Danio rerio: one gene and its partner. Each later gene encodes a partner of the first gene's protein in a complex. Links are inferred from orthologs where the notes say so. Each region holds a gene or a part of one and is shown on either strand. Other genes may lie near its edges.

Region 1 (3,514 bases):
GTCACTACAGTGTAAGATTTGTCACATATATAAATTTTCCACACCCTCAAAATGTCCAGTTTAGCATGGATGATCTATGCTGATGGCAGTTCTAGGTACAGTATTTCCAGTAGTGAATACAACGAGTGCTTAACAGACAGATCATGAGGGGATTTCCACCTCTGTACCAACATTTTCTTGTAGCAGTTGAAGCAGCTAACCAAAATTTACGATCCTTTGTGTTTAAGGGAAATTGAGAGTTATCATTCAGCAATAACAATACAGGAAACACATTTTTGTAGCTTTAAATAAAATGTCCTAAAGTTTCTGCTCCTCCGGACATTCTCACATTATTTGTCAATAGGGTTTTATAGATTCTGGTTCACTAAACTTAAAATAAGGATGTTGTATACATGTGGTTAAATATGCCCTTTGAATAGGTTTGAAATGAATAAACGAGTGATTAGCGTTTGTGGAAGCGTGAAATGTATTATCCTACACTGTTTCCCAATCAATAGTTTATTACCCACATTTTCACGAAAGTTATTTAAACCATTAGAATGGACATTTTACCTGCACGTAAAATTCTTTCTATTTACCTAAAATCTCTTCTTAAAGTTTTAGTTGATGACAACACTAATATGACCACCCTCATGTTTTTCTCAATCAGAGATACGACTCATTTGGAGATCGAACCCTTTACTCTACTAGGTGTCTGCGCTGGTCTGATCCCTTACCCTCATCACAACCAGTCCCCCAGAAATACCTACCAGTGTGCCATGGGCAAGCAGGCCATGGGTAAGACCACAAACATCCTGGAGGAGCAGTCGCACTTACAAACACACACACTTCTATTCACTCGCTTTTCACAAAACCACATTCTGCATGTGGACATCAAACATTGCCTGCTTGCGTAGTCCCACTTTTGTGAGTGAGTGTGTGTGTGTGTGTGTGGAAGAAGGCCTTTCCCTGCCAGTGTCTCTGAGTGTCATTAGCCATTCATTGTGTCCTGAGCTCAGGGTTAGTGTGTGCTCAGCTGTGCAAGAGCGAACGAAAACACACACACACACACACACACACACACACACACACACACACACTTTGCTGCCCTGGTTACCAAAACTACTTAAACCTCTCCTGTCCACCACCCCCATTACAAAAACCACTGAGACTGCGACTATATTTGGCCCAATATCCTCGGCCTTGTCTTCTTTTTTTCTGGACGGACAGCCCCATACATGTGCAAATCCAGTTGTGTGGCCCCGGCCCTATTATAACACACTGTGTGCTTGTAGCCTGATTGTAGAGTAATAGCATCTGACAAATGTCAAGGCCTCAAGGGACGTCGGCTATTATAGTATAAACCCCCCCCCCCCCCCCCACACCCCTCCATCTTCTCCATGCTAAACATCCATCTCATAGATTTTAACACTATCGACACAGGCCTTTACTCCAACAGCCCTCAGGCAGTCTGTGAAATGATTGAATTTAGATTGATTTGATCTACTGAATTAGTTAATTGGAAGCAATGTAATGGATTTTGTGGTAATAATTTACATTAAACTTTTAGATGTTAACATTTGTTTTTGTCATTGCTGTCCTTTTAATTTAGCTTTTCCTATTTTTCAAGTGTTTTGTAATTTATTAAAATGTATGTTTCTTGGGAATTTTCTCCTTTTTTTGTGCTACTTGTGACACCAAATGAAATAGTCTCTAAACTAATTTCACAAACACTGCCTTATCTTACGTTATATGACCAAAGGTCAACCTCAGAATCACACCACTGACTGAACCAATATTTATAAAGGATTTTAGAGCAAAAGTGGCAAAATGCCTCATAAATAATAATACTGTCATTAAATGAAATATTATTTTTATTATTATTATTATTATATATGTTAAATGCAATTTTACATATTTATGAATGCATTAATATTGCACTTTTCCTTTTAAGTTTTGCGTGGTCCTTTTTTAGTGACGTCTCATCCTGTCATCACTGTTTCTGATTAGGTACTATTGGCTATAATCAGAGGAATCGTATAGACACCCTGATGTACCTGCTGGCATACCCACAGAGGCCCATGGTGAAGACCAAGACCATCGAGCTGATAGATTTTGAGAAGCTACCCGCCGGCCAGAATGCCACAGTGGCTGTAATGAGCTACAGCGGCTATGATATAGAAGATGCCCTGGTGCTCAATAAAGCTTCTCTCGACAGAGGTAAGAGCTGAACTCTTAATTATGACCACATTGGCAAAAAACAAACCTCTCTCATATTTAAACACACTTAGAAGTGTTCTTAGCATGCAGGAGAGAATATTTTTACTTTTTTAACAGTTATTGAGTATTTTTAAGTATATTTAAGTATATTACTGTTGTATTCTGATTTTTCTTTCTTGTGTTAGGCTTTGGTAGATGTTTGGTGTATAAAAACGCTAAGTGCACCTTGAGGAGGTACACAAATCAGACTTTTGACAAGGTGATGGGTCCAATGCTGGACGCAGAAACGCGGAAGCCCATTTGGAGACACAGCATCCTGGACGCTGATGGCATCTGCTCACCTGGTAGACATCTACAATTGAGATGTGTCTAAAAATGGATAGTTCACCTAAAAATGAAAGTTCTGTCATTATTTTCTCATCCTTCACTTGTTTCAAACCTGTTGGAGCTTCTTTCTTCTTGAACACAATAGAGAATATATTAAAGAATGTTGTAAAAAAAAAAAAAAAAAAGCAGCCATTGACATTCAGATTATTTTTGTTCCTACTACGGATGTCATTGGCTGCTTTTATCTAATATTCTTCAGAATTTCTTGTTGTGTGTTCATCTGAACAAAAACAATCACTTGAGTTCATTTTTTGGGTGAACTATCCCTTTAAAATGTTAATCTAGCAGTGTGTGAAAGGTGCTTTATGCTTCTTGTAGGTGAGAAGGTTGAGAACAAACAGGTGTTGGTGAATAAGTCCATGCCCACCGTCACCCAAACACCACTGGAGGGCAGTGCCCAGCCAGGCCAGCCACAATACAGAGAAGTGCCAGTCTCGTAAGACACCGTTCTTAATTTTCTAAAAGCCAGACACAAGTTTGTTGTTGTCATTCGATAGCAACCCAAATGCCCACTTTGTTGGTTCTATAGGTACAAAGGAGCAACAGACTCCTACATTGAGAAGGTGATGATCTCGTCCAATGCAGAGGACGCCTTCTTAGTCAAGATCCTGCTCAGGCAAACACGCAGACCAGAGATCGGAGACAAGTTCAGCAGTCGACATGGACAGAAAGGTAGCACACAGTCCTCTTTTAAACTGCCATCTTCTCTGCTTAGTGTCCAAGCTATATTTTGTTTTTCTTTACACATATTCACACAGTAGCGAACAGCATTTTAAAGAATACTGTTTCATAGCATGCTCAACATGTGTGTGGTCTAGTGTTTTTCAAAAATGTCTCCGTTCTCATTTAAAATGCAGTTGTGGATGGTTTAATTCCCTCACAAGTGCCCTTTGATTTTCATTTGCAATAAAAAAATCCAAAAATTTAG
Region 2 (4,286 bases), on another chromosome or scaffold:
CGCCTGTGTGAAATAAAAGCCGTTTCTAACATATCAATTCGAGGTGTTGGTTAGGACAAAAACTCCTTTTAATATGGAAAATATTTGTTCTATCACGTGCCGTTGCTTTTATACTGAACACGGTTTACATTAGGCTTGAGACTCGCTCCTCTTGGTCATCTGGCAACCTGCACTTGCATATGTTTTGATTCTGGAATGTAATTCCTAGTTCAACCACTGGGTGTCAAATTACATACCTTTAAACATTTGCACCTTTAAATGTTATTTACAATAATTGCATTAAGACTCAGGATTAGAAAAAAAGGATTGCATATGTGCCAAAGTGTAGAAATCGCATGTTATGTAATTTCGAAAAAAAAATGACATGATACAATGAGCATAATATAAGCCCTTTAAAGATGTCAGTAAAGAGCTAGTCCTGGGCTCTGAACTGACCTTTCTTGGGAGCCGCTGGACGGATGTAAAACGGGAGCGTCTTCATGGCTCCCCTAAACTCCTGTTTGAGGGCCAGCATGTACTCGGCCTCCTCACCTGCCTGCAGGGGCACTGGCTTCTGATCCAGAGGCTGAACACATCAAACAGCACATTCACATCTGTCTGCTGCTCACACAAACACCTGCTGTCACTCATTTACACATGCCAAGACAGAAATCAGCTTTTAATAGGGCATACAGCTAAAGTCAGAATGATTTTTTTCTTTTTTAAAATATTTCCTAAATAATGTTCAACAGAGCAAGAAAATTTTCACAGTATGTCTGATAACATTTTTTCTTCCGGAGAAAGTCGTATTTGTTTTATTTCGGCTAGAATAAAATCCATTTAAAGGTCAATATTATTAGCCCCATTAAGAAAATTTTTCTTCTTCGATTGGCTACAGAAAAAAAACATTGTTATACAATGATTTGTCTAATAAACCCCAATCAACCTACTGTAGTTAAGCCTTTAAATGTCACTTTAAGCTGAATACTAGTATTTTGAAAAATATCTAGTCAAATATTATGTACTGTCTTTATGGCAGAGACATCTACAGACACTTAAAATGGCAATAAAATTATTTTCTTTACTGTAATAAAAATGTTAATTGAAATAAAAAAAACATACAGTTGAAGTCAGAATTATTAGCCCCTTTTTTATTTTTTTCCCCAATTTCTGTTTAACAGAAAGATATTTTTTTCAGCACATTTCTAAACATAATAGTTTTAATACCTCATCTCTAATAACTGATTTATTTTATCTTTGCCATGATGCACATAATATTTGACTAGATATTTTTCAAGACACTTCTATACAGCTTAAAGTGACAGTTAACGGCTTAACTAGGTAAATTAGGTTAACTAGGCAGGTTAGGGTAATTAGGCAAGTTATTGTATAATGATGGCTTGTAGACTATCGGAAAAAAAATTGCTTAAAGGGGCTAATAATTTTGACCTTAAAATGGTATTTAACAATTAATAACTGCTTTAATTTTCCAGAAGAAACAATATTATCAGACATACTGTGAACATGTCCTTGCCCTGTTAAACATCATTTAAAAAATATAAAAAAGAACAAAAAAATTCAAAGGGGGGCTGATAATTCTGATTTCTACTCTTACTTCCAGCAGGATAACGCGCCATGTCAGAAAGCACAAATCATCTCAGACTTTTTTTTTTAACATCACAATGAGTTCACTGTACTCAAATGGCCACAATATTCACCAGATCACAATCCAATAGAGCATCTTTGGGATGTGGTGGAAAAGGAGATTCACATCATGGATGTTTAGCGGGCAAACTGCTTGATGATATCATGTCAATATGGACCAAAATCTCTGAGGAATATTTCCAGTATCTTTTTGAATCTATGCCACGAATGATTAAGGCAGTTCTGAAGACAAAAGTGGTCCAACCCAAAACTAGTAAGGTGTACCTAATAAAGTGGCCGGTGAGTGTAAGTGGCTTATTATGTAACTGTTAAGGTAAATAAGGTGGAATACTGTGATGATGTGTTCAACAATAAAACAATTTGAATTCTAAAACAAATATTTAAACAAATATGTTGTTGTGATATTAGACACTTTTAAAATGTAATGTTTGCTGAATGTTGAACAGGACCGTTTTTTCAATGCAATTTCTGTGTAGCTCGTGACGCCATCCACATTAAACTATTAAAGCACTGCGTTTATGCTCATGAAATGCAGAATCTGACTCATATCTTGATAATAGCAGTGTATAACAAGCGTATAACAGTTTATAAACGAGGCTTTATTGTTGTGTCTTGAAGACTCACGGGGAACAGAGGTGTCGGCTGGATGCAGGACGGAGGGAGATTTTCACCTTTACCGATCCCAACTATCTCCACAGAGAAAGTGAGCTGCCCTCTGCCCCTTCCTGCCATCATCTGAGACAAAATATTTCACATTTATTAATCATACATCCTCTTTATTTAACTCGTTTATCCGTTATTCACAGTATAAGTTTACTCATTATCAAACAACTAAATTCGGCTAGAAAAGACACATTTAGGCCAAACATGTTAAAATATTTATTTTTACATAAATGTACTTTTGGTAAATGTTTTATTTTCAATGTAACGTTTTATTTGTTTTGACCGAACTGTAGCATATAAACACACCTCTTTCACTCAATGCGGCGAAATCCCTCTTTATTTTCAACTTCGTTTCATTGTGCAAAGGTTTTATTGGTTAATCCGTCAGTAAACGTGGTTGTTTTTAATGTAATTTCAGGTTTTATTGATGTAAAATTGAGCAATAAAATCACCCGCCAAACATCTGCCCGTTTGTTTTTGCCCGCTTCTGAAAACACTCCTGCCAGAAACATGAGCGCGGTCTTTTATGGTTCCGCGTTTCGCGTCAGTTAACGTTAACCAGTGCTACTCAAAGTGAATCATGCTAAACAAACAAATCATTACAAAATATGTAAGGATTCATTACATGTTTTGCATATTGCTCACAGAGATGCTGATGCACATGCTAAAGATTATTATACTGTAGTCAACATTTGAAGTGGATCAAAACCTTTATCAAAGTTGTTCCAAAACTATTCAACAACACACATTTTTAACTTAGGACAAATTTTGATAAACATTTTTGATCTGTTTTAAATGTTGGCTATTATTTATTAAAACTACTGTTTATGTAGCCTATAACTAAGTTACAACACTTTATTACATATGTGAAACATATTTGTCCGTGTACATACAGTATAGATATTTCTGTAATTCATGGCTTTATTGTATAATACTCACAGACACAGTGCGTGTGTGTGCGCGTGCATGCGTGTGTGTGTGTGTGTGTGTGTGTTTACAGTTGAGGTATTGTTATTAGCCCCCCTTAGAATTCTTTTTTCTTTTTAAAATATTTCCCAAATGATGTTTAACAGGGCAAGGAAATTTTCACAGTATGTCTGATAATATTTTTTCTTCTGGAGAAAGACTTAATTGTTTTATTTTGGCTAAAATAAAAGCAGTTTTGAATTTTTCAATGAAAATTTTTAGGGTCAAAATTATTAGCCCTTTTAAGCTTTTTTTTTTTTTTTTTTTTTGATAGTCTACAGGGGTTCTCAAAGTGGGGGACGCGCGACAATGAAGGGGGGGGGGGTCGCCTAGTTATTTCCAAAAATCGAGTTATTTTTATTAAACCATAAGAATTACCATATTTTATCCATAACCTACTGAAGAGAAAAATCTAAATCATCTTTATAGTGATTTAACATTTTAACATCTTTATACACTATATACTGCTGTATTGAGTTACTATAGTAGCTTCTAGTTACTAGTTCTATTGGATTGCGACCCCTGGGGTAATTACATTATGTTAAAGACAGCAATAGCGTCAGATGTAACAGACTGATTTTATAACACCAGGTTAAACTTTCTGGCACATTAACAGCACTGACATACATTAATTCCACAAAGAATAGACATGGGTTTCTGTACTTATAACCACCTCAGAGGATGTTGGGAGTCGCGAGTCACTGGCATTGTCGTTTTGGGTGTCATGGGCTGAAAAGTTTGGGAACCCTTGGATTACAGAACAAACCACTGTTATACAATAACTTGCCTTATTACCCTAACCTGCCTAGTTAAACTAATTAACCTAGTTATGCCTTTAAATGTCACTTTAAGCTGTATAGAAGTGTCTTGAAAAATATCTAGTCAAATATTATATACTGTCATCATGGCAAAGATAAAATAAATCACTTATTAGAAATGAGTTAATGTTTATTAAAAAACTATTATGCTTAGAAATGTGTTGAACAAATCTTCTTTTCGTTAAACAGAAATTA

The links. Proteins that work in one complex are often made in the same cells at the same time.
Region 2: polr3b (region 1) and polr3glb share a complex: the UniProt entries of both Homo sapiens proteins name them as parts of the RNA polymerase III (Pol III) complex. The link is inferred for Danio rerio from reciprocal best matches to the Homo sapiens genes POLR3B and POLR3GL.

What each region holds. Positions count from the first base shown.
Region 1 is NC_133193.1:16,747,183-16,750,696, reverse strand, and holds part of polr3b (DNA-directed RNA polymerase III subunit RPC2), read left to right. Parts: intron 1-649; coding exon 650-777; intron 778-1,989; coding exon 1,990-2,199; intron 2,200-2,384; coding exon 2,385-2,543; intron 2,544-2,904; coding exon 2,905-3,022; intron 3,023-3,115; coding exon 3,116-3,258; intron 3,259-3,514. UniProt on the Homo sapiens protein: Catalytic core component of RNA polymerase III (Pol III), a DNA-dependent RNA polymerase which synthesizes small non-coding RNAs using the four ribonucleoside triphosphates as substrates.
Region 2 is NC_133191.1:47,264,629-47,268,914, reverse strand, and holds the start of polr3glb (DNA-directed RNA polymerase III subunit RPC7-like), read right to left. Parts: upstream 2,809-4,286; 5' UTR 2,614-2,808; intron 2,380-2,613; 5' UTR 2,377-2,379; coding exon 2,269-2,376; intron 566-2,268; coding exon 436-565; intron 1-435. UniProt on the Homo sapiens protein: DNA-dependent RNA polymerase catalyzes the transcription of DNA into RNA using the four ribonucleoside triphosphates as substrates. Specific peripheric component of RNA polymerase III which synthesizes small RNAs, such as 5S rRNA and tRNAs.